Astyanax mexicanus: one gene and its partners. The protein of the gene in region 2 interacts with the protein of the main gene of each other region in a pairwise test. Links are inferred from orthologs where the notes say so. Each region holds a gene or a part of one and is shown on either strand. Other genes may lie near its edges.

Evidence for each region. The genes of interacting proteins can lie anywhere in the genome.
Region 1: the proteins of E3 ubiquitin-protein ligase RNF5 (region 2) and abhd16a interact in binary tests that used the Homo sapiens proteins (3 or more experiments, as listed by UniProt). The link is inferred for Astyanax mexicanus from reciprocal best matches to the Homo sapiens genes RNF5 and ABHD16A.
Region 3: the proteins of E3 ubiquitin-protein ligase RNF5 (region 2) and yipf2 interact in binary tests that used the Homo sapiens proteins (3 or more experiments, as listed by UniProt). The two-hybrid records come from large-scale screens. The link is inferred for Astyanax mexicanus from reciprocal best matches to the Homo sapiens genes RNF5 and YIPF2.

The regions. Positions count from the first base shown.
Region 1 is NC_064413.1:5,136,973-5,144,784, forward strand, and holds the start of abhd16a (phosphatidylserine lipase ABHD16A), read right to left. Parts: upstream 3,004-7,812; 5' UTR 2,965-3,003; coding exon 2,863-2,964; intron 2,389-2,862; coding exon 2,332-2,388; intron 1,028-2,331; coding exon 961-1,027; intron 1-960. Other genes in the region: g6fl (g6f-like), read right to left, coding at 4,483-4,504, 6,384-6,430, 6,660-6,686. UniProt on the Homo sapiens protein: Phosphatidylserine (PS) lipase that mediates the hydrolysis of phosphatidylserine to generate lysophosphatidylserine (LPS). LPS constitutes a class of signaling lipids that regulates immunological and neurological processes.
Region 2 is NW_026040044.1:3,464,956-3,472,461, reverse strand, and holds the start of E3 ubiquitin-protein ligase RNF5, read right to left. Parts: upstream 3,023-7,506; 5' UTR 2,940-3,022; coding exon 2,779-2,939; intron 1-2,778. Other genes in the region: uncharacterized protein LOC125790051, read right to left, coding at 5,770-5,840, 5,942-5,983, 6,378-6,416, 6,518-6,559, 6,965-7,006, 7,222-7,260. UniProt on the Homo sapiens protein: Membrane-bound E3 ubiquitin-protein ligase that mediates ubiquitination of target proteins. May function together with E2 ubiquitin-conjugating enzymes UBE2D1/UBCH5A and UBE2D2/UBC4.
Region 3 is NC_064426.1:9,771,183-9,778,914, forward strand, and holds the start of yipf2 (protein YIPF2), read right to left. Parts: upstream 3,004-7,732; 5' UTR 2,751-3,003; intron 1,755-2,750; 5' UTR 1,737-1,754; coding exon 1,706-1,736; intron 1,616-1,705; coding exon 1,473-1,615; intron 462-1,472; coding exon 381-461; intron 1-380. Other genes in the region: timm29 (mitochondrial import inner membrane translocase subunit Tim29), read left to right, coding at 4,357-4,453, 5,684-6,330.

The DNA of each region.
Region 1 (7,812 bases), on a different chromosome or scaffold from region 2:
ATCGGAGAGGATGATCACATGATTCACCAAGATATTGCATTACACAGGCAGTGCAAAGACAATTATTAATAATACAATAAGTAAATTGTTATACATAAAGAAATAATATCTAAATAATTAAAGGACAATATTTTACGGACTTACATATCCCCGTTAGTAAAATAACTACAATAACTTCCTCACAATATAAGAAATTACTGTATTTTTTGCACTATAAGGCGCACTTAAAATCCTTTAATTTTCTCAAAAATCGTCAGTGCGCCTTTAAATCCAGTCAGGTTAAAAGGAGCAGTAAAGCCACTCTGCAGAAGTACAATGTTTCACAGGAGTTTCAGTGAAGTTTCTCCAGCACCGAGACTGGAGCAGTATTAGCATTAGCCGCTAACCACGCTAAGCAGTAGCTCTTTCACCATTCAGGGGTCAGTATTCTCAGCCTGTAGCCTGCTGCTAACCCCGGTAAACACTGCTGGAGCAGCATTAGCCTAAGAACTTGCTCATTAAGCGCTAGCTCTTTCGCCGTTCAGAGTTGAGTATATCGGACTGTAGCCTGCGTGTTTACCAGGTTAAAACAAGCTACATGGTACAAACCCCTAGCTAATATCACCCTGGGTAACTGGAACAGTAAGGGTTCCTCATAAACTATTACTATGTCCTGCAAAATCTGTCTAGGACTCAAAAGGTTTAGCTGTAAAGATGCTGTAAAACATGCATTGGAACATAATCCTCCAGACTACGAACCACAATGTAGCGCATGGCAAAAATAATTATGACTAATTAACGAATCGAAACAATAATTGGTAGATTTGTCGCCTACTAAAATAAGCCTCAGTAGCAGCCTTAGTATCATCATCATCACGTTGCTCACTTCTAGTTGTTAGCTATATTAGCCTAGCCTATATTAACTAGCTTGTTAACTTGAGCTGGATTACTGCTATACTAGTAGCTGTTAGTAGTGTTTACCTTTCCTGTACAGATAGCAGAGGATGAGAGGAGAGCTGTAATAAGACAGGGACCACAGTGCTGAGGCCTGAAGGGACAAAAAAAAAAAACATTAACATATAAGTGATAGAAGCACACTGTTAATTTTGGAACATTTTTAATAAACAAATCTGATCTGAAATCATATCAGAATTGAACAGAGGTATCAATTAACCAAGTAAAAACAGTTAATTACCTTACTTAAGTAGAAATGTTGGTTATCTATGCTTTACTGGAGTAATTATTCTTTAGACGACTTTTTACTTCTACTTCTACTCCTCACACAATTATGTGAACTCTTTTACTTCTTACATTTTAAACATACATTCCAAAACACATTCCGAAACATATCCAGGCCTGAAAATTTCTATTTTGAAATTCCATGAGTTTTTCAGCTCTTTCATGACTGTACTAATTAGGGGTGTGCCATATCGTATCGTACGTGATAATATTGCCAAAAAATTTTAAATATCGTCAACGATATTATACCCTGAAATATCATGCCATATCACTTACCCCCAAATTATCGCGTCAGAGTACTACTTTTTTGCCATTTTTAGCAAAAGAAAAATTCACACTGTTCTCATTTCCCATTATATATCTACTAGAGACAGATTATATCTGTCTAGTATAATTTATTTTACTTAAATCCTGGATATATGAAGATATTCAAAGTGCCTTACTAGTATTATGACATTGTTACAAATGTGATTTTTTTTTATTTTTAATATCTCAGTTAGCCATACCATATTGCATGCAATAATACAATTCTAAATATTTTTTCTAATTCAATGTTTTGTCATATCGCCAAAAGTACTGTTATCGTGAAAATACCATGAAATATTGTGATATTAATTTAGAGCCATATCGCCCACCCCTAGTCCCAATATACCAAAAGAAACCAGTATAGTTTGGTTATTACACCATACTGTACTTTAATTTTATGCTTTTGTTTTATTTATTTTTTTTTTTATATAATGTTACATGGCATGTCTACATCTAACACAATGAGATGTACAAGTGGGTCATATATATATATATATATATATATATATATATATATATATATATATATATATATATATATATATATATGGCAGCTTATAGTCTTACTAGATTCTTGTTGTAAACTTAATAAACAGTGTTTTATGCTTCCTTGCTCTAAAACATCCAATTATCAAAAGTCAAAACAATATTATCAAAAGTTAAAAAAAGATTATTAAAAGTCAAAACAAACATTTTGGTTATATTAATTGTATATATCCACAGGGGCTCTCAATCTTTCAAAAAATACAATTAAAGCCATGGAGGGTAAAGCTTTAAGATTTTAAGAGTAAGTAAGAAAGGACTTACCCAACCGAGGATACTGTCTGTGTGTCTTTCCAAAGTTTTCGGCTGATAATCCCAACCCTGTAAAGGTGACAGTGATTTTAATGCACAGAATAAAAACAGCAAAACAGCCACTTTCCCCTATTACTCGAACTATCCGTTCCACCTTAAATGGCACTCTTGTTACATTCTGGCGCCTCAGGATGATAACGCTACAGCAGGAGCATTTAAGGTGGAACGCGAGATTAAAAATAAGACTTGGGAATATGCTGAAAATCTATCTAAAACATAAACTACAGCTATCAGAGAGGTCTCAGATTTCCCTTTTATAATCCTAACTGATAGTTAAGACTCTCAAAACCTAATTTCAGTGATTAATTTGTGTACATTTACAGTTATTCTGACAGACTGACATTAGCTAGTTAGCTAACTACAGTGCTAGCTAAGGTTAGCCTGTCAACTCAAAGCCCTGCACTTCCCTAGCGGCTCTTAACGAGCCCAAACCCCGAGTTTTAGCCCGTTTTGCGGGCTGTTAAGAAGGGGATCAGCTCGTACCCGCCTCCCGGCTCTTCCCTCAGGTCGGGGCTGCTCGAGCGGGCGGTGGATCCGGTGCAGGCTGGGCCCGAACAGGCAGCGGAACCACAACCAGCCGGCCATCCTTCCTCGGTCGACGGCTACGGAAGCCGGAGTGGGTGAACTGAGCTAATTCAAAACATTCAAAACTGTAAATATAAAACTGTGATGTGTACATTAAATTCTATTCAATTCTACAGTTATATATGCTATATATTAATATATATGCACAAATACTGCAGGTGGTAAGAGGCTATACCTTATTAAACTCCTGTTTAAACATCTGTAAAAAATTAACATCTTATTTCTGACAATTTTATATAAGGACAAACAATGTTTTTTAAAAAGTTATTTTAAATGTAAAAAAAAATTAATTAATCCACTACATAAGCAATGTGCAATATTTAAGGTGATAGCTGCATAAATTGTTTTTTAACACATTATAATGCTTATGCATTATAATCTAAGTCTTTCATTATTATTATTAATATTCCCCATTTGAAAAACATGGAAAATTAAGCGTTCAGCAACATTTCAAACTAGTGATCACCTTTTTTGAGCTACAAACACTGCAGTTTGATCATTTATGCTTTTAATGCTTTTAATGTAAAAAAAAATCTAGTACATACACAAATTGCAATATTTGAGGCAATAATAGTTTCATAATTTTGAAAAAAGTCAAACACACACACACACACATTAAGGATGCAGATAAGTGCAGATGCAGATAAGTGGCAGTGCAATAATGCAATGATGCTTATTTGCTTTTAAGAAGCCTTCTCTTTGGAAAAATTCTCATTATTTTAAGATAATTTTTTTAGATGCTTAAAAGTTATTTTAGACATTTTATTATCTTTAAAATAACTTTGAGGTGTTTTCACAATAGTTATCTCTTTTATTCTTCGTATTTCAACTTATTTGTCAAATGTTTGTAGGCAGAAATTAATATATGTGCATGAATCACTATATGTGTGAAATGCATTAGAAAAAAAAAAGAAAATAAAAATAAAAATATATATATATTTGTAAAGTATTTATAAAATACATTTGAAAATTTTTAATTAAAGTAATGCATTTGCGTTATACTTAAAAAAATAATAATAAATATATATATATATTTTTATTATTATTTTTTTATTATTATTATTTTTAAGTATAACGCAAATGCATTACTTTAATTAATTTTTTTCAAATGTATTTTATAAATACTTTACAAATATTTCTTATACAGAATTATTGCCTTTAATAACAAAAACAAAACTGAAGACAAAAAGTTACGCACACAGGTTTGTGTATGACAGCACTGATTTACAGCATTTACTGTATTTCCGTTTGTTTGTTTGTTATTTATAAGGCCCCGAGTGGAACTGCATGATTGACCAAAGTAATGTGACCAGTCCACTGTGGGACATAGATCTATATCAGATGTCTATTACAGATGACATGATGTACAATACAGTTAAAATTCAGAATAATGATTTAAATAGTGCATACACTTATCATCAGAGACATCATTATTTACAGGTTTTTATTTCAACAGATATTACTGCCTGCCAACATTACTTATACATTAATTTGAGTTCATCATCCACTTGAGAAAACTTATCCACAGCACGGGTCGTATCTGGAATGAAAAGACACACATGCACAAAATGAGATAATATAGCAATATTATATAAAAATGTAATATTTTTTTGTGGCTTTCCCTGTTTTTTTCTTTGATTTAAACATTTCACTTTTATGTGACTGAAGATTTTTTTTTTATTTCTTTACACAATTTTGTCCCAGTTGAAAATGTAAAACTCATATACTATGTGGATATACTAAACACAGACTGATCTATTTTTTAAGCGTTTATTTCTTTTATTGTTGATTATGGCTTACAGCCAATGAAAACCCAAAAATCGGTGTCTCAGAAAATATGAATATTATAGAAGACAAACTGATACTTTTGGCAGCGTGCCAACAGCAGTTATATGTAATATAATCCGTTATATGTAATATAATCTGTGTAAATTTATCCCTGAGGGAAACATTTCTGGTAATGTGTCTCCATATGGTTTCCATAGTTACCAGAAGGCTTTAAAGAATTAGTCTGGTAAAAATCAAAAGTAACATGATTGATTGATGTCTGACCCCACATACAGTCGATCAGCAAAGACATGTCTGATGTGTGCTTCGTTTGTTTAGAACAGGATTTGCTAGGTTAACATTGCTAACATATATTGGACTTAGCCTGTCACCTATCTGATCTTGGTAAACACATACCCAAACGAGGAGCCAAACAAATGCAGGATCTTAAATAACACTCAAAACATTAGGCCTTACCCTGGTCCTAATCAATATATTAATAATCTAAACCCTAGAAAAGAATCTACAGGAGGTTCTCTAAATCAAGTGGAACCAAAAAATAATTAAATAACAGTAAAATATATTAATATTGTTAATAACACAAATTACTTCATCAAAAACTCATAAATAGTATTATTATTATTATTAGTCACACTGACATACCAAAAATCAAGGGATAGCAGTGTGCAACTTATTTGTTACATACATCAGGGGATGGCTTGGAAATGCCCACACCAAAGCCTATATTGTATATAAGTCTATACGTTGGATAGAATGCTCATGGCAAGAAAAAATAAATTATTAGAGTGATTGGCTGAGAGACATTCTGTGAGTGAGTGCCATTATCAGCCCTGTAATGGACTGCAACCCAAGCTCTCCATGTATTACCACAGGTCACATACAGGTAAGCCAGCAACGATGCAGCGCATACAAGCCAAACAGCGCAACTACAAACAGAGCAGCAATGGAACTATTTTAACTTGCTTGAGTGTTTATAACCGAAAAGATCGTATTTTCTCGTCCTTTTTAACTCAAAATCTTTCAATAAACAGTAACTATCAATAATATAACTGTGGTATAATCGCTATAATACATTGAAGGTTTGTGCTATGCTGTGTGATATCGGCACTGCTGCGCTGATCTACAACCGCAGCACAGCAGTGCCAATATTACACATCATAGAACTCCGTCTTGTGTATTACTGCTTAAGTATAAAACATATTCTGGTTTTACACTTGTTTAACACTTTTTGTGTATGTAAAAAAAAAAAAAAAAAAAAACCACAAAAAGAAAGAAATACATTAAATAAGAAGATGTGCGACCAAACTTTTACAGGTATTGTATATTATACTCTCAATTCTGCTGTAACATGAGATACTGGTGATGACTGAAATTCAGACCTGAGTCTAGAGCCTACAACTTCCTGAATAAGTCAATACTGAGTCAATGTGCTTTTTGTTCTTTTCTAAGTACACAAAATGTACATGTTGCAATAACTGTTTGAGGTAACTGATGGTACAAGACAGATACAGCAGACAGAGATAAAGCTGAACACAGATGAAGTACTCCTTTAATATAGTGTGGTGATTAATGCACTGGTGGGGGCTGAACCAGTGGTGCTCTTTCTGTGACCTGAACACATCATCTCTCACCTGTCTAATTCCTTATACACGTCCGCCTCTCCGGTGGGCTTCAGGTCCTGAGGGAGGGGGGAGATGAAGGAGGAGGAGGAGAAGAGATAAGATTTATGGTCTGGAGGAGGTTCGGGTCAGCTCATCCTCTAATATTTCTAATGTAAGACTGACAGTAAAAAGTGAACACACACACACACACACACACACCAGATTGTAGAAGCTGCATTATTATCCTCTGACACATACATACAGAAATATGCACAGAAACACGCTCTTTAAAATTTGATAACTCACCATATAAACAGCACCATGTGGGGAAGACTATTGTGGGGAGAGAGAGAGAGAGAGAGAGAGAGGTGGGGGGAGAAACAGTGAATGGTGGTGTCTGGAGGTTGGTGGATGGAGGAGGTATGAATTTAAACCAGATGTTGACTGATATGATAAGTAATAACTGCTCGACTGGCAGACATCCAGTAGTTTTATATAAACCCTATTGTCCTTGCTGGCATGATTATTAGCTGTGAATAGCCAGGTTTCGTATTTCTTACACTCAAAAATTGCAGAAATTTAATTAATTAGTAATTATGCAATTATACTGTATATGCAATTACACTACGTCATTTTTTTTATTAAAGAGAATTTTGGAGAGGCAGAGTCCCTTAAATGCAAAGATGAGCATCTGTGCCTTAAAAAAAATCTATTTTTTTTTTTAAATATGGAGGAACAATTTCAGAAAAACGTTTCTTAAAATCCCAAATTTGTGAAGACTTTGGATATCACATCATCTACAGTAAATACCATCATCACAGCAAGAGCTCAGGAACACTTCCAGAAATCACAGTCTGTAAACACAGTTCACCGGTTGGATCTTGCAGAGAAGAATTTTAAGGACTACATGGCACACCGTATTATAAGGCGCATTTTATGTCACAATAATAAGGAACAAGGGTGTTGCCACGTTAATCTACACAGATTTCTCTCCTGACAACTATTTATTTGGGTGAATAAAGCACTTCCATTTATTTACAGTAAGGTTAGATATGTTCCAATATTTTCAACAGCGCGGTTAGCAGCAGCGCTTAGTGCTAGTAAATTCCACCTGATAGCGCTACACTGAGGAACACCGAGTGTTTTAGTAAGCCAGGGTGCTATCAGTTAGTGGTTTCTCCCACGTAGCTTGTTTAGAAACGCTAATCACGCAGGCTACAGTCCGTTATTCTCACCTCTGAATGGCGAAAGAGATAGCACTGTAGTTAGTGGCTAATGCTAATACTGCTCCAGTCTTGGTGCTGGAGAAACTTCACTGAAACTCCTTTATAAAGCAGTACTTTACAGTACAGTACAACCTGACTGGTAAAAATTATACATTAGGTGCACCAGATTATAAGGCCCACTGTTGATTTTTGGGAACATTAAAGGATTTTAAATGTGCCTTATAGTGAGAAAA
Region 2 (7,506 bases):
TGTGTGATCACGTACACCAAGGGCATATTGATATTGGAATTGTATCATACTGACCGAAATTAGGAAATTGTGACATAAATTTTTTACCACATCATCCAGCCCTGATTACAAGCCTTTAAAAGATCAATGCTGATTCACTGTCAGAGATTTAACATTAACCAATGCCTATTAGTCAATATTAAAACCTATAAAAATATAATTTTTAGGGATCCCTGCTTGTTATCATTGGCTAAACATTGGTCACCTGGCTTGGTGTTGGAGATAAGTCCTGATAATGTTCCATGGCCATATCCCTCAGAGCAAAGAACATTAAATAAATGTAATTTTTTTTATTGCATTACGTTGGATATGTTTTACATTAATCAACATTAAAGAATGTAATACAACAAAAATTAAGGTTTATTCAACATTCTTTGCTCTAAGTGAAATATTCAAGGAGCATTATCTGGACTTATCTCCAACATCAAGCCATTGGATCGATATTTAGCCAATGTTTAGCTAATGTTTACAAGCAGTAATGCCTAAAAGTTGTTAATTTTTTTTAAAAAGGTTTTACACCCTAAAATGTAGCCAAATCCAAGTTAAATCATCTCATTAATCACATTCAGACAACGTTAAAGCTACAGGATACACGTTGAACCTGCTTCCAAAGTCCTCCACACAGCCCAGCTTAACAACAACATGGCTAGCTTAGCTTAGCTTAGCTAACGTTAGGATGCTAGGTTGGCTAGTCCAGCTGGCTAATAATATCTGACAGAAAAGAAGCCTAGCTAGTTAACTTAGCTACATAAATAGCTAAGGAGCAGATCATCGAGTCTAGTGCACTTATAAATGATATAAAACACATGAAATCGACATAAACACGAATAAAATATTACTATTTCAGTCAGTGAGCTAGCTAGCTATTATGCTAACCGCTAAGCTAAGCTAAGAAGCTAACAGGCTAACTCCAGCTTCAGCACAGATCCAACAAGTTTGCTCAAAAAACATTATTCTACACATTATTAAACACAAATAACCCCAAAAATGAGAAGATACAACTTTACACGATATTCATTCACTCATATTTATAAGAAAACTGGCCTAAATTGTTTTAAATTAGTGTAAATCGCCCATTTTCCAAACTATAATCACAATGTTTTGGTAGAAATTAGCTACTCAGAGAAGATAATGAGGAACAAACACACACAGATTTCACAATTCAAAGCACTTATTGTTCATTTTTACTGAGTATTTAGAATAAAGTTGAATTTAATTCTCAATATTCAGTATCTAAAATCAAATTTAGGCCAGTATTCAGCATTATTCAGAACTGTAATGTTGTATAACTGTTGAGTAAAGGCCTGGATGCATGGTATCTGTGATGTTTTTCCAGTGTTTATAACATTACACCTGTTATTAGGATGGTTTAGGATAGTTATAATAACATTTAACATTAACAGTTGCTTGAGTTTTTTACAATGTCTACGTAAAATAAGCTCGAAAGTGTTTATAATCTTAGTTAAGCATTTTATTAATGTTGTAAAGAAGTGATTGTTACAGGTGTATTATATAGTACTATGTTTAATATAGAAAAGATGTAGCTATTTTTCTACAGGTGTTATATTTCCAGCTATGGTGTCCATTTGAATACATATATACAAATGTAACTACCAAATCTTAGGTATACTAAATTAGGAATAATACTTATGATTATAGCATATCGTAGCCTATAACTTATTTGTGCACATTGATTTTACATTGAATCAGTGTTGAGTCAACATAAAATCAATGAGATCGAAATCAAATTTTCCATCGCAAATGCATTGAAACAACATTAATTTCTGATGTCGCATTGATTTTACATTGATTCAAAGTTAAATATGTATAGTACTTCCTATTGCAAGAATACATATGATATACTATCATAGTAATACTTATTGGTATAGTGCTTATTTATATACACATTTTAGCTATAAATGTAACTGCCACAATATTGGAATTATGTATACTACAGGAATAGTGTTATAGTACAGCTCTGAGCATTTATTTGCAGAAAATGAGAGATGTCTAAAATAAGAAAAAAGATGCAGAGCTTTCAGAGCTCAAATAATGCTAAGAAAACAAGTTCATATTCATAAAGTTTTGAGAGTTAAGAAATCAATATTTGGTGGAATAACCCTGTTTTTTAATCACAGTTGTTTTATGCATCTTGGCATCATGTTCTCCTCCACCAGTCTTACACACTGCTTTTGGAAAACTTTATGCTGCTTTACTCCTGGTGCAAAAATTAAAGCAGTTCAGTTTGGTGGTTTGATGGCTTGTGATCATCCATCTTCCTCTTGAGTATATTCCAGAGGTTTTCAATTTGGTAAAATCAAAGAATTTCATAATTTTTAAGTGATTTCTTTCTTTTTTTCCAGAGCTGTATGGTAGTATGGTTATATGGTATGGTTATACTATGTTCATATTGTTGTATCTTCAGCAGACAGCAACATAAACCATTATTAAAGGTTTTAAATGATATATTTATTTAATGTGATTGTGGTTTGTTGGTTAGTAAAGGTATTTAACTAGTTAGTACTGTGCTGTATTCCCAGTGTATATAGTTATTTAGCACAGGATCCTAATGGACCCTTCGTTAATCCTAATGCTTTTTCTCTCATTTCTTACAGTAAACTGCAGATATATCATATTATTCAGTTAGATTATTATTGATTAAAGCCACTGCACGTGTTTTAATCAGGTATAAATGTATTAATATAATAAAATAATAGTAATAAGCAGGTCTGGAGGTACCAGAAGAGATGTCCGCACAGGCTGATCACCGCGTCCCTCGCCGTGTCCAGGCAGATGTTACACTCGAAGGCCGCCCGGTCTCCGTCCCCGTCCCGCTCCCGGTCTCCGTCCCCGGGGTGGTGTCCCTCTCCCCCGCTCCGGGGCTCCGCCGCCGCCGCCATCTCTCCTCCTCCTCCTTCTGCCTGTCTCTTTCTCTAACACACAGACACACACAGACAGACAGACAGCCTGCTGCTCCTGAACACACCTACACCACCCAGCCCGCACTAATAAAAGTCCCCCCGCTTCAGGAGATAGAATAAAAGTCTCCTAAAAGTCTCTCTAGGCCTGTACACACACTTTCCCATTTAGTGTTTTACTTAATACATTTATTTAATTTATATATTTAAAAAAATATAATTTTTTTATGAAACACAAAAACTTTAAGAGTTTAACGGAATACTATAAATGTATTTTTTAAGCAATATGCATTAAATTATAATTTAGTCTGTTGATAGAAAATATGTATACTTCTAAACATAATTATAAATGTTTAAAAATACAAAATATAAAAATTGTACGCAATTAAAAGTGTACTTAAATTCAGTGTTTTTCTTAATTTCTTTTTTTAAATGTATTTTCTACATTGTAGGTGAATTTTGCCACATTCCTAAAATAATAAACTTTTTTTTTTTTTTTTTGCAAACAAAAGCATAAGAGGATGCTAAAAATAACACTAAACGTAGGTTCAAATTATGTAAAGAACACTAAAAGTAAATTTTCTATTTCATAAACTTATGAAATAAACATATGAAAATACATGTTAAATATATTTTCTCTGTATTTCCATAAAATGCACTTTTAGGCAATATGCATTAAATTATATTTAGTGTGTTGATAGAAAATATATGATCTTCTAAACAGTGTGCTTAATGTAACATTACATAGTTAAAATGTATTATTTACAAGTATATTTTTAAGGAAATGTACTTTAAAGTGTGATTGAGACTAAATAAAAGTCTTCTAAATAAAAGTTTTCTTTATTTCTTAATTTAATTTATTTTCTACATTGTAGATTTTTCAGGAAACACAAAAATGTTTGACAGTTTAAGATGATACTTAATATCCCTAAAAGTATGTTCAAATTAGGTAAAACACACTAAAAGTACATTTTCTATTTTATAAACCTCATATGAAAATACGCGTTACATATATTTTCTCTGTATTTAAAAAAATGTATTTTTAAGCAATATGCATGAAATTATACTTTATAATTAATAAAATTCTGTTTTAATACTAAAGTATACGCGATTAAAGGTGTACATAATAAAATAATAAATAATTAAAATGTACTATTTAAAAGTATATTTTAAAGAAATGCACTTTGAAGTATGATTTACTCTAAATAAAAGTCTCATCTAGTTATTTATTTTCTACATTGTAGATTAATTCTTACAGCAAGTAATTTTTTTCATAAACTTCATATGAAAATACACGTCAAATATATTGATTGTCTCTGTATGTCAATTATTTCTTTTAAAGCAATATGCATAAAATTATACTTTATTGTGCAAATAAAAAATATATGAAAGGGACATTACCCAAAGACAAACAAAAAATGTTATTTAAATATATATTTTAATTCATTGTATTACCAGGATTTCTTACATTTTATAAAAAATACAGAAATATACAAAGCAGACAAAAAAGTAAACATTTTAAGCGATCAGTTTGTTTCTCTGGTTTATACTGCATTTGACCAGACTGTAACAGTTACCAAGTAAAGTTGTTGACCCAATGCTCTTAAAATAAAGCTGAAAATCTAATCTCAGATCAAGTAAATGCAAAACAAATATATACACATAAAAACACATCATATAAAAAAACAGTTTCAATAAAAAATAACAATATTCAATATTAAATATTTAATTATTACAGTACACAGTTTAAACTCCGACAACGTGTAGAAAATCTACTGTTTTACATAAGTTTTAATACAAAATACAAAATACAAACGGAGGGTTATTTAGAAATCAACCAAAGAAACACACAAATGTCGTATTTTTGCCAAAAAAATTATGACAACCAGAACATTTTTGCAGGTGATTGTGTCCACTGCAAATTTCTGATTCTTCACTGGTCAAAAGATTCAGCTGTCTCTGCTGAAAATGAAAAAATGTGATAAATATATGTAATATATATAATATATATTTAAAATATAAATATATACATTTATAAAATGTATTTTCTGCATTACTCTCATTTTATTGAGATACCATTTATCCACTACCTGTATTATTAAGTACATAACAAACAATTTTAATATATATATTAATATAGTTAATTACAGTAAATGATAAACTGTTATTAGCAGCTGAAATAGAGTGAAATACTCAACCTTACCCAAGGTCAAAGGAATATCCATTGAAGCAGCCAATTTTCCTGTAATTAAAAATTAAAAATATCTCAAATTAAATTAATTTCTAATTTAGTGAACAGAGTTCTTTAAGACTCTTCATGATCAGGTTATGAACTCACGTCCAGCTGGGCTCAGTCCTGCAGTCAATCTATTCTGACCTTCATCATCCTCACCACAAACATTAGCTGAAAAAAATGTTTAATTTATTAAATAATTTCATTCAATATGAATTCTTTATAATTAAATATATTGTTATCTTATATTAACACATCATTATGTGGAATTAATAATTCTTGCTCTTGAGCTCCCCCTACAGTCAAGATGTGTAATTCGTGCTTTAAGCCACCACTAAAGGATACGCTGTACACATGCATTTCTGGTCAAGATTTTTGCTATTACATTAAAAAATAAATTATATATTTGGAAACAAATAGATAAATGATATTTTAAGCTGTATTAACTGGAGCCTCACAGGGTGTACCGGATTATTCCTTATTAATTGCTTTGGCCCAGGCATTCTTAATCCTGCTAAAATAATATTTTTATAAAATAAAAAGAATATTGATTATTGATGTTAGTAAGTGAAGAAATTTTCAGCACATAATCATGAAATAATCAAAATTACCCAGAGTTAGAGGAATATCCTTAGAAGCAGCAAATCTTCCTGTAATGAATAAATACATATTTAATCATAAATATTTTAAAGATCAGGTTGTACTTAGTTTGTGTTTAGTGAATGTTCTCGTTATGATCTTATAAACTCACGTCTAGCTGGAATCAGTCTGTTCTGACCTTCATAATCACCAGCTAAAAAGAAGAGAATGGAAAAAAAATAAATAAATATATATATATATATTTATAATGACTTATTAGCAAATTAAACAGACGTAAAATGCACAAGAACCAACAAGGAAACACAGAAACACAGAGGCTATATTCACACAGAAGTAGACAGGAAACAGGAAACACCAGGGACAGGTAACAAGGGGGCAGAGCTAGCAATTGGAAGAACTGAAGACAAGGGCGGAGACAAGGAAAAAAAAACAGAGAGCCATGTGCTAAAGAGCACATGGCGAGAAAAACATGGAGACAGAAGGGGAGGACACGGAACAGGACGAGAACATGAGACTAATATTGATTATTGGAGTTACGGAATGTTAAACTGTACAGCAGCTGATAATAATGAGATAATCAATATTACCCAGAGTTAGAGGAATATCCTTAGAAGCAGCAAATCTTCCTGTAATGAATAAATACATATTTAATCATGAATATTTTAAAGATCAGGTTGTACTTAGTTTGTGTTTAGTGAATGTTCTCGTTATGATCTTATAAACTCACGTCTAGCTGGAATCAGTCTGTTCTGACCTTCATAATCACCAGCTAAAAAGAAGAGAATGGAAAAAAAAAAATATATATATATATAATATATATTTATAATGACTTATTAGCAAATTGAACAGACGTCAAATGCACAAGAACCAACAAGGAAACACAGAAACACAGAGGCTATATTCACACAGAAGTAGACAGGAAACAGGAAACACCAGGAACAGGTAACGAGGGGGCGGGGCTGCAAATAGGAGCAGTGAAGACAAGGGCAGAGATGTTGAAATGTTGAACTGAACAGCAGCTGATAATAATACAATAATCAATATTACCCAGAGTTAGAGGAATATCCATAGAAGCAGCAAATCTTCCAGTAATTAATAAAAACATATTTATTAAATATTATTAAGACCAGCAAGAAATATACACATTTTTCTGATCAGAGTGTATTAAACTCACGTCCAGCTGGAGTCAGTCCCTTCTGATCAAAATCATCACCAGCTAAGAATGAGAGAATGAAAAAAAATTATATTATGTATATATATATATATATATATATATATATATATATATATATATATATATATATATATATTTTTTTTTTTTTTTTGTATTAATTAACATTTAATTGAAATTCTTTGCAAAAATACATTTGATCTAATGTTGTTAATGATCAACCATACAGCAGTTAATGATAATGGTATAAACAGTATTACCCAGAGTTAGAGGAATATCCATAGAAGCAGCCAACCTTCCTGTAAATAATAAATACATATTTAATACATTATACATTTAGCGAACAGCAGGATGAAATATCATTATAGTGTCAATCGATAAAAAAATAATCAGAACAGTATTAAATGATTAGTGGGTAGTTAAACATATATAATAAAAACAGCATTTTATATATTTTATTTTTCGCTCTTGTGCTCCCCCTACAGTCAATGTGTGTAAATCACACTTTGAGCCACCACTTAAGGACACACTGTACACATGCATTT
Region 3 (7,732 bases), on a different chromosome or scaffold from region 2:
AAGTAAAATAAAATGCTAATTCTTTTTATTTATTAAATAAATAAAAAAATTTAAGGGGCATTTGTATTCATTTCCCTGTACTGTGGCATTAAATGTGGATGTAATTCCTGCTAATTTTTGTCTGTTTGCACAGATGCCACTGGTGTACAGTGGGTGATAAAGTCTTCTATAAAGTATTCTTAATAAACACAGGACAATGTGGATCGAGGACTGTTTAAAAATCCGTCTGGCTCCCACGCTCAGGTCAGGCGTTAGGTGTTCCCAAGCTGTTCTTCTGAGGTAACACAACATACTGCTATCCTATGACTTTTGGCATGTCAGTGTATACAGAAGGCTTGTATTGATAATACACATTAATATACTCCTAAAGAACTCCATACCTGCATTGTGTCAACATTGAAGAAAGACTGATAGTATTCAAACGTCCAGAAGCCCCCACTTTGTTTTTCACCTCCAAGCAACTGCAAGTAAAGAACAAAACAGGTGTTCAGACACAACATTAGTTCCTGTCAGAACAACTATTAAGAAGTATTAAATGTAGTAATTCTTGATTTCTGCAAAGACAAAGGAGAATAGGGCACATACAGAAAAGAGAAAAGATTATTATTATTCTGTAGTTAAATGAATTTGAGTTCAGCAGCCCTCTAAGCAAACACATATATACAAATTTTCACACTAGTTAATACTGGTCACAAGGTTCTATGTAGCAGTTACAGAATTTACATTTGCCTTATTAATGTGCCCTGTACCTGGCTGTAATGCAGCACCTTTAGTAAATAAGTAAACCAGCTCACAGTGAGATAAAGGCAGGTAAAGGGGGAACTAGAGCAGAAAACAGGTTTTATCTTGCCGAAGTTAAATAATAGTTCAGAACAAGGAAGTGACAAACTGTAAACCCCAAACACTGTTGTTCCTCCTTAAAAAGAAAATCCAGTTGAGCCAAAACCGAGATATGCATTGAACAAATTTCTGAACTGTTTCTTAACCTTAGAAAAGGGCTCGCCCAAAGGGCAGAGAGTTTAGAAATTAGGCTTAAAGGGTTAATTTTATCCCCACTTGCCAGGCTACAAATTTCTCAGCTTTGTAACCCCACAATGTGCCGAAAAGACACTGAAAGCACACAGAGATGATTGCAACATTTTCTGGTATGCCTGTTTGTGTTACAGTGCTAAAACAAAGCTATTCTACATGGCTCACTTGAGATGTCTCGGCGATGTAAACCAGCCAATTAGTGAAGGGTTCATCTTTTTTTAAGGGGCACCATAAGCCAAGGCTAAATTGTAAATTGATGAAAGATCCAATTTGAGCATTTTAGCCCTATATTACATTGCACCTTTTGGCATCCTTGGGCAAGACACTTGCAAGGCTTGCCTACTTGTGGAAAATATGTAATAAAAAAAATAATAATAAAAAAAAGAGAGAGTGTCTGCACCATGCTTTCCTGTAAATATGCATTAAGTTGATAAAAGCACCTCTGAGCTCTCCTGCTGATTCTCCTCATCATCTGACAGGTCCAGCTTAACATCCCCTGCAGGTGCAGTAGTGCTGGAGTTGGTGATACTGAGCGTGGAGGCACCGGGGTCAGCGGCCAGTAAATCTGTGGCCTCCTCGAATTCTGCATTGGTTTACAAAAGGTAAAAGAGTGAGGAAGGAGGAGACATGCAAGAACATCTGAACAGTTTACTTACTGAACAGAAGTACCAACCTTGAAATCTCAAATCGTCAGGACTCGCCATGGTAGATCACAGAAATGACTGAAGAAAAAAGAAACATATCACAAGAACACCAACAAGGTCACTATAAATGTTTCGGCATAAAAATCTAAATAATTTTTTAAATGTCAAACTATAAACACATTTATTAGTAAGACCGGTAGAACTACTGCATACAACTTTACTGGAGGCTCACAGACTGCTCAAAACATTTAACTTCTGAACAAATAAAAATGGCAATTATATTGTGAACTACACACAAATAAATATGTGCTGTTAAGTGGTCATCCAAGGCATATTATTGCATAATATATTGTTTTAGTATAATCATAACAGTGTGCACATGCACAATCGTCACATTGTATGTCACATGCAGTGTCATGTAAAGCAAATTAAACCATACAGGAGATGCTAGAACTTCCTTGGTACAAAAAATAAATAACTTAAACATAAAAAATAAAGTAATAAACGCCAATACATTTATTTTTTTTCCAATATTTGATACAGAGAGAACACTGTTAGTATCATAAGATGTTAAATCACTGATTTTAGGAAAAATCGATGTTTAATATCACAACATACAGTACATATCAAAACAATAACATACTGCAGTGTTATATTTTTTCTTATCATACTAAATGTGGTAGTTGTTCAAAATGAATGTGTTCAGCTACCAAATATCAGATGTTAGTTAATTACAGTACATGTTTAGCTTATCTTCTAATTTCTTTATCTAAATATTCTGTTCCAACTTAAAACAGTGTAACTGCTAAAGCACTTAAGGTGGAAAGGGTATATTAGTAGCTCACAGTTGTAACACTAACTAGCTGTTTAATTTGATAAGAAAAGCTACTGCCAAGCTCTGCGTGTTTAAGAACAGCTGAATCAACACACTGCAGACCCCAGTCAGGACCCGCAGCTGCTGCAGGTTTAAGGTGGAACTGACAGAAGGTGAGGAACAGGGGAAGGTAATGAGCTCGTGTCGGGGTGATGAAGCGGTTAGTCGGGTTAGTTGTGAGGCGGTTAGCCTCCTCTTACCAGCGGTCAGTCAGTGCTGCATCAGCTCTCCCACCATTAACGCTGCCTCTGCTCTTCACTAACGGTCACCAGGCTCCTCAGCAGTGACAGCGCTGCTGCCGGGACTCAGACAGCGCTACAGCCGCCGCCTCTGAACCGCCACGACCGGGTTAAAGTCGGGTACAAAACAACTCAGTTAATTCAGTGAAATCTCACGCAGCTGTGGGTTTATCCCGCCGTGCTCCACGTCACCCTCCCAGCGACAGAGTTCCTGCGTGTGTCAAAATAAGGTCACGTGACCGGAGCCAAGCCGGAACCTTAAAAAACAAATAATTAAATACCAAACGCGATTTTATTTTAAATCTAAGCATTTTAACTAGTTATTTAGCAGATTTAATAGTTAAATATTTTTTATAATATTTTTTTTTATATTGACTAAAATATAATAAATCTAATTATTGTACTTTTTTTTTTTACTAAAATAATCTTAAGTCGAATTATTAATAAAGCATGAAAACCACGGAAACGGCACATTGTGTATCTGTGGCAGATTACGACGGGTTTTAAGTTTTTAAAATGTTTTGTTCTGTGTTCAGAATCAGAAATCTGTAAGTTAACTGTTTTTGTAGCAGAGAGCTTATACAGAGGAGAATACCCACTTATTAATCTCTTCTGGATTTGACAGTCCACCAGAGGACGCTCGCGAGTAAATCGTATACATATACGCATATATATTAACACATAACTATATAAAATGTTTCAAGCTTTTAAACTTAATTTATAAGCCTTTTAAATGTGCTTTGACTAAATGTGCTTTGTAAATCCAGTGTTAGCACACCAATCAGTTAGCACACAGTAACAGTAATGCTAGCAAAAAGGAGATACAATCCTTTACACCTATACTTTAAAATCCATATCCCCTGATCGCAAAATTAAAACCTAATTTTTAAAAAAGGAAGAAAAAAACTGACAGAGAAAAATCAGAGTGGAACGTAAAAACCGTTGATATGGTCCCCCTATCGGACCACCAACTCCAAACCACGCCAGAGCTGGTTTAGAGCAAGCCTATCTACTTCCGCTCTCCTCCGTTATCAGAAAATAAGGGATAACCGCTAGAGGGAGCCTGCGAGTGAGCCATAAATAAAGGGAGGGGGGTTGAATGGTTAAAAACTCGGTAAAAACGATCATTAACTACGTGTCCAGGATATTGCTTAAATTTCGTAATTTCGTAATTTGAACAACAGATTTGGTAGCATCACTGCTACAGAAGTGCTGAAGTAACAGCCAGCACATGTTTTAAATGTTTCCAAGTGGACTTTAAAAGTTTGTATTTGGCATTAACATTTGATATGTTGAGGAACTAATCACATTTTTCGGTTTAAAAATTTAGCAAACATTTACAATCTGAACCTATTCATTTAGGACTCGGGAGCGCCCTCTGGTGGTCTGACATAAAGAGGTTTTAAAGTGGTCTACAGGTTCTTTGACCGAGCCTGCGCCATTTCGGCTCAGTGGTTTCGCCAGTGGGCGTGTTGTGTGGGGGGGCCGTGTGGAAACAGAGCCGGCGGTATCGGTTCCGGTTGAGTTGAGAGCACTGAGCCGCTGATCAGCGTGTGTTCGGACTGTCATGGCTGCCTCGTGTGTTTTCAGGAGGCTCTGCTCCACCGCAGCGGAGGCTCAGGGCAAGGGCAGCCGGTGGGAGAGGCTGAAGAGCGGCCGCGTGGGTGAGCGCTTTACCTACCGAGACATACAGATTAAATATACTCTTTATTATTAACCCGATCAGCAGCTGCTGATCTACTGCAGAACTGGAGAGGAGAAGCAGTCTACTGCCCGACAGTAGAATCAGTTAATTAATATATATAATAATAACATAATATAATTCAGTAGAAACTCTGATCCTTAATTTAATTTTATATTAATTATGCCCAAATGGTGAGAATAAACACATGTTTAACACTAACTGTAGGTCAAAACTGAAATATATGTTCTCCTCTTAACACAAACGCTCTTGCATCTCCATTACCAAGGTCTTTTAGGTTATTAGACACATGAAAGACACACTTCTTTCATTCTTTTTTTTACATTGTAAATTTAATATCGAAGATATATGGATAGATTAATAGATATTAACAAATTATTTTACTTGTAAATTTTAAAAGAAGTGGCACCTTACAGCTTATAGCACATTCAAAACCAGGAGAGAGGATCAGTAAGATGTATCAAAAATGCCATCTAATAAAATCAGGCAAAAAGATCCACTTAGTGTCACATCCTGCTCTTACTGAAGAACAATTGCAGAATATGGTATTCTATATCGGGTTTAATTCACTTTACTATCATTCCTGTTTAGTTTAATTCCACTGGGTCGAAAAAAGTCCAAACAATAGAAGACATTGTGTTAGTAGAAAAATACAACAGTAATGTAATGGAATGTAAAAATGAGATGTATGATTTTCAGCTATGGCTGACAGAAAGAAAATAACACATTTAATAATTAAGTTCACACTGAATTCTCAAACCCTCCACATCCACAGAGGGAGCTATTCACACTGCAGACTGTGCTTACATGACCTAACTAGACTAGAGGCAGAGTAGAGCTCCACTAGTGGTAGAGCACACACCAAACTACTACAAAATAAAATAAAAGTAACATTTTTAAAAACATTTAAAGAGCTAATTTATGTTCTTAATTTATTGTGTTCCACATTCATTTTGGGATACGGTGTCATCGTATGTTGCATTTATGTTCATATTGTGCACTGCTGCAGAAACTGCAGATATCTAGTAGAGTTTAGTAAAGGTTTTGCCCTCTACTCTACACTCTACTTTGGTAGGAGTATTAAAAGTAGACATGTTAATTAACCATTAAAAATCAATATTTTTGGTTTTCATATGTTTTGCTATTATAAAATCCTATTCCAGTAAAACCAGTTAAAATGTCCTTTTTGCAGGTGTGTGGTGCCGTAGTCTTTTGGGTGACTACAAGGAGGCCTGCCGGGAGGTGGTTGTTGGAGCACGGGAGCGTCCCTTTAAAGCCTCAGCTTACGCGGTCCTGCTGGGGGGGGCGTATTTCTGTTATCGAACAAATCCAGATGACACGTCCTTCCAGACTGATCTGCTAGAAACCTCCAATAAACTGGCCCTTCTGTCACCATGGATACGAAGCGGGATGTCAGATGGTCACGTGCAGAACCTGGTGAGGCTGCGTAATGAAGGTCGACTGCGCTACCTTAGTCTGGGCGTGGCCTCGGTGACCTACGTGGTGAGCTACGACCCTGAGAGCAGCCTGTACGAGGCTCAGTGCTCGGCTCTGTCTGTGCCCTGGGCAGAGCTGCCCGGGCGCATGCTGGACGTGGGCTTCGCTGGACGCTGGTGGGTACTGCACCAGAAGATGAAGGACTATGACATTAACGAGGAAGAGTTTAAGCATCTCTCTCCGGCTTTGGTGGCCACAGCTCCCCCTTCAGTGCAGGAGACTGAGAGGAATGAGAGACTGCACAGAGATTCGTTGAAGGCGCTGGTGATGGAGGTAGAGGAGGAAACGGCAGATGGTGCAGTGAGTGTACAGAAAGAGGGGGAGATCGTGGCGAAAGGATGAGAGAAAACTGTGTAAGAACAGATGCACCTAAGCGTTGATGTGCTTCACTAAAGGACGTGTGCTGGCATGGACATATGGACTGGAGGCATGTCACATATGATCAGATAAATCTGTGAGCAGCAGCCCGGAAGGGAAAGCGCATTTCTCTGGACATGGACTTCAGTTTATATAGTGTTGTTGGAATTCTGGGACAAAAAATGTCATGTATTGCTATACTGTATGTTAATACTTTAATCTTAAAACTAAAGGTGCTACAAAATTGTTATTCAAGGCTCAGCAAAATATTTTTTTTTTTTTTGACAAAACCTTGGTGAGGTGGTGTGTTGGTAGAGACGTGGGCCTGTTCCTTGCTACTAATTTGTGCATCTCCAGTGAGATTAACCATTTTTTGAAAATATATGAATGTAAAATATAAAGTAAAATGATTTGGTAAAGAACTTTAACCCTGATTTAACACTGGCAGGCCACAGAGCAGGCCACAACGTCATTTCTTATAGGAAGGTTTATGATTTTTTTTGTGTGTGTTTAAGTGTTTTTACCTGAGGGTCCCCAGATTCTGCTCTGTGAACATTTTGTTTCTCCAATATTTCATTCATATTCTGAGCAGAGCGGTTTTGAACATGACGGAGAGGCTCAGCACAGCTGATTCTTCTTTGCCCGTTTATATGATGCATTTTTGCACAAATACAGGGACAATTTGCAGAAAATTAAAGTGTTAATGAAAGTAGCAGATGAGCTTGCTACATTAGCCAGCATGCTAACCAGTCATGTTGATACAGGCCCTGATACACAGCCACACTTGACAGCACAAGCAGTCTTAAACACACTCACAAGAGACAAATTTGAGTGATGCGAGTGACCATAACTTATTCAAACCTAAATCAGCTTCTTTACACTCACATCTCTTGCAGAAATGTACATTAAAATCTTTATAGAACTAAAATGAACTAAATGTTTCTTCTATGGCATCACTTGAACCCTTTTGTAGCACCTTTTATTTTTTAGGAGTGCTGGTGAAATATGAAATGTTTGGCATAGTCTGTGAAGATGAACTGAATCAATAAACATTATTGTTATTTTGTAGTCACTGTCACTTTTGATTATGTAAGGCTGCATTCCATTTGAACTCCCATGTCAGAATTTTCTAGTTCCAAGACGGACTTCCAATTATCAAAATGATAAAAGCTCCACCAACCCTGAGTTAGGAATCCAAGATGGCTGCCCTGTACATCAGTAGAAGTAAAAGCAGTAATATATACTGCTTGTTGTCACTTCTATCTATCTGTCTCATTAAATAAGTTCTATACACAGTACTGCTCAAGTTTTATCTGTAGATCAAATTCCATGTTTAAATCTGCAAAATACTGCATAATGTATTAGGATACAGTGCTAACAACAACCA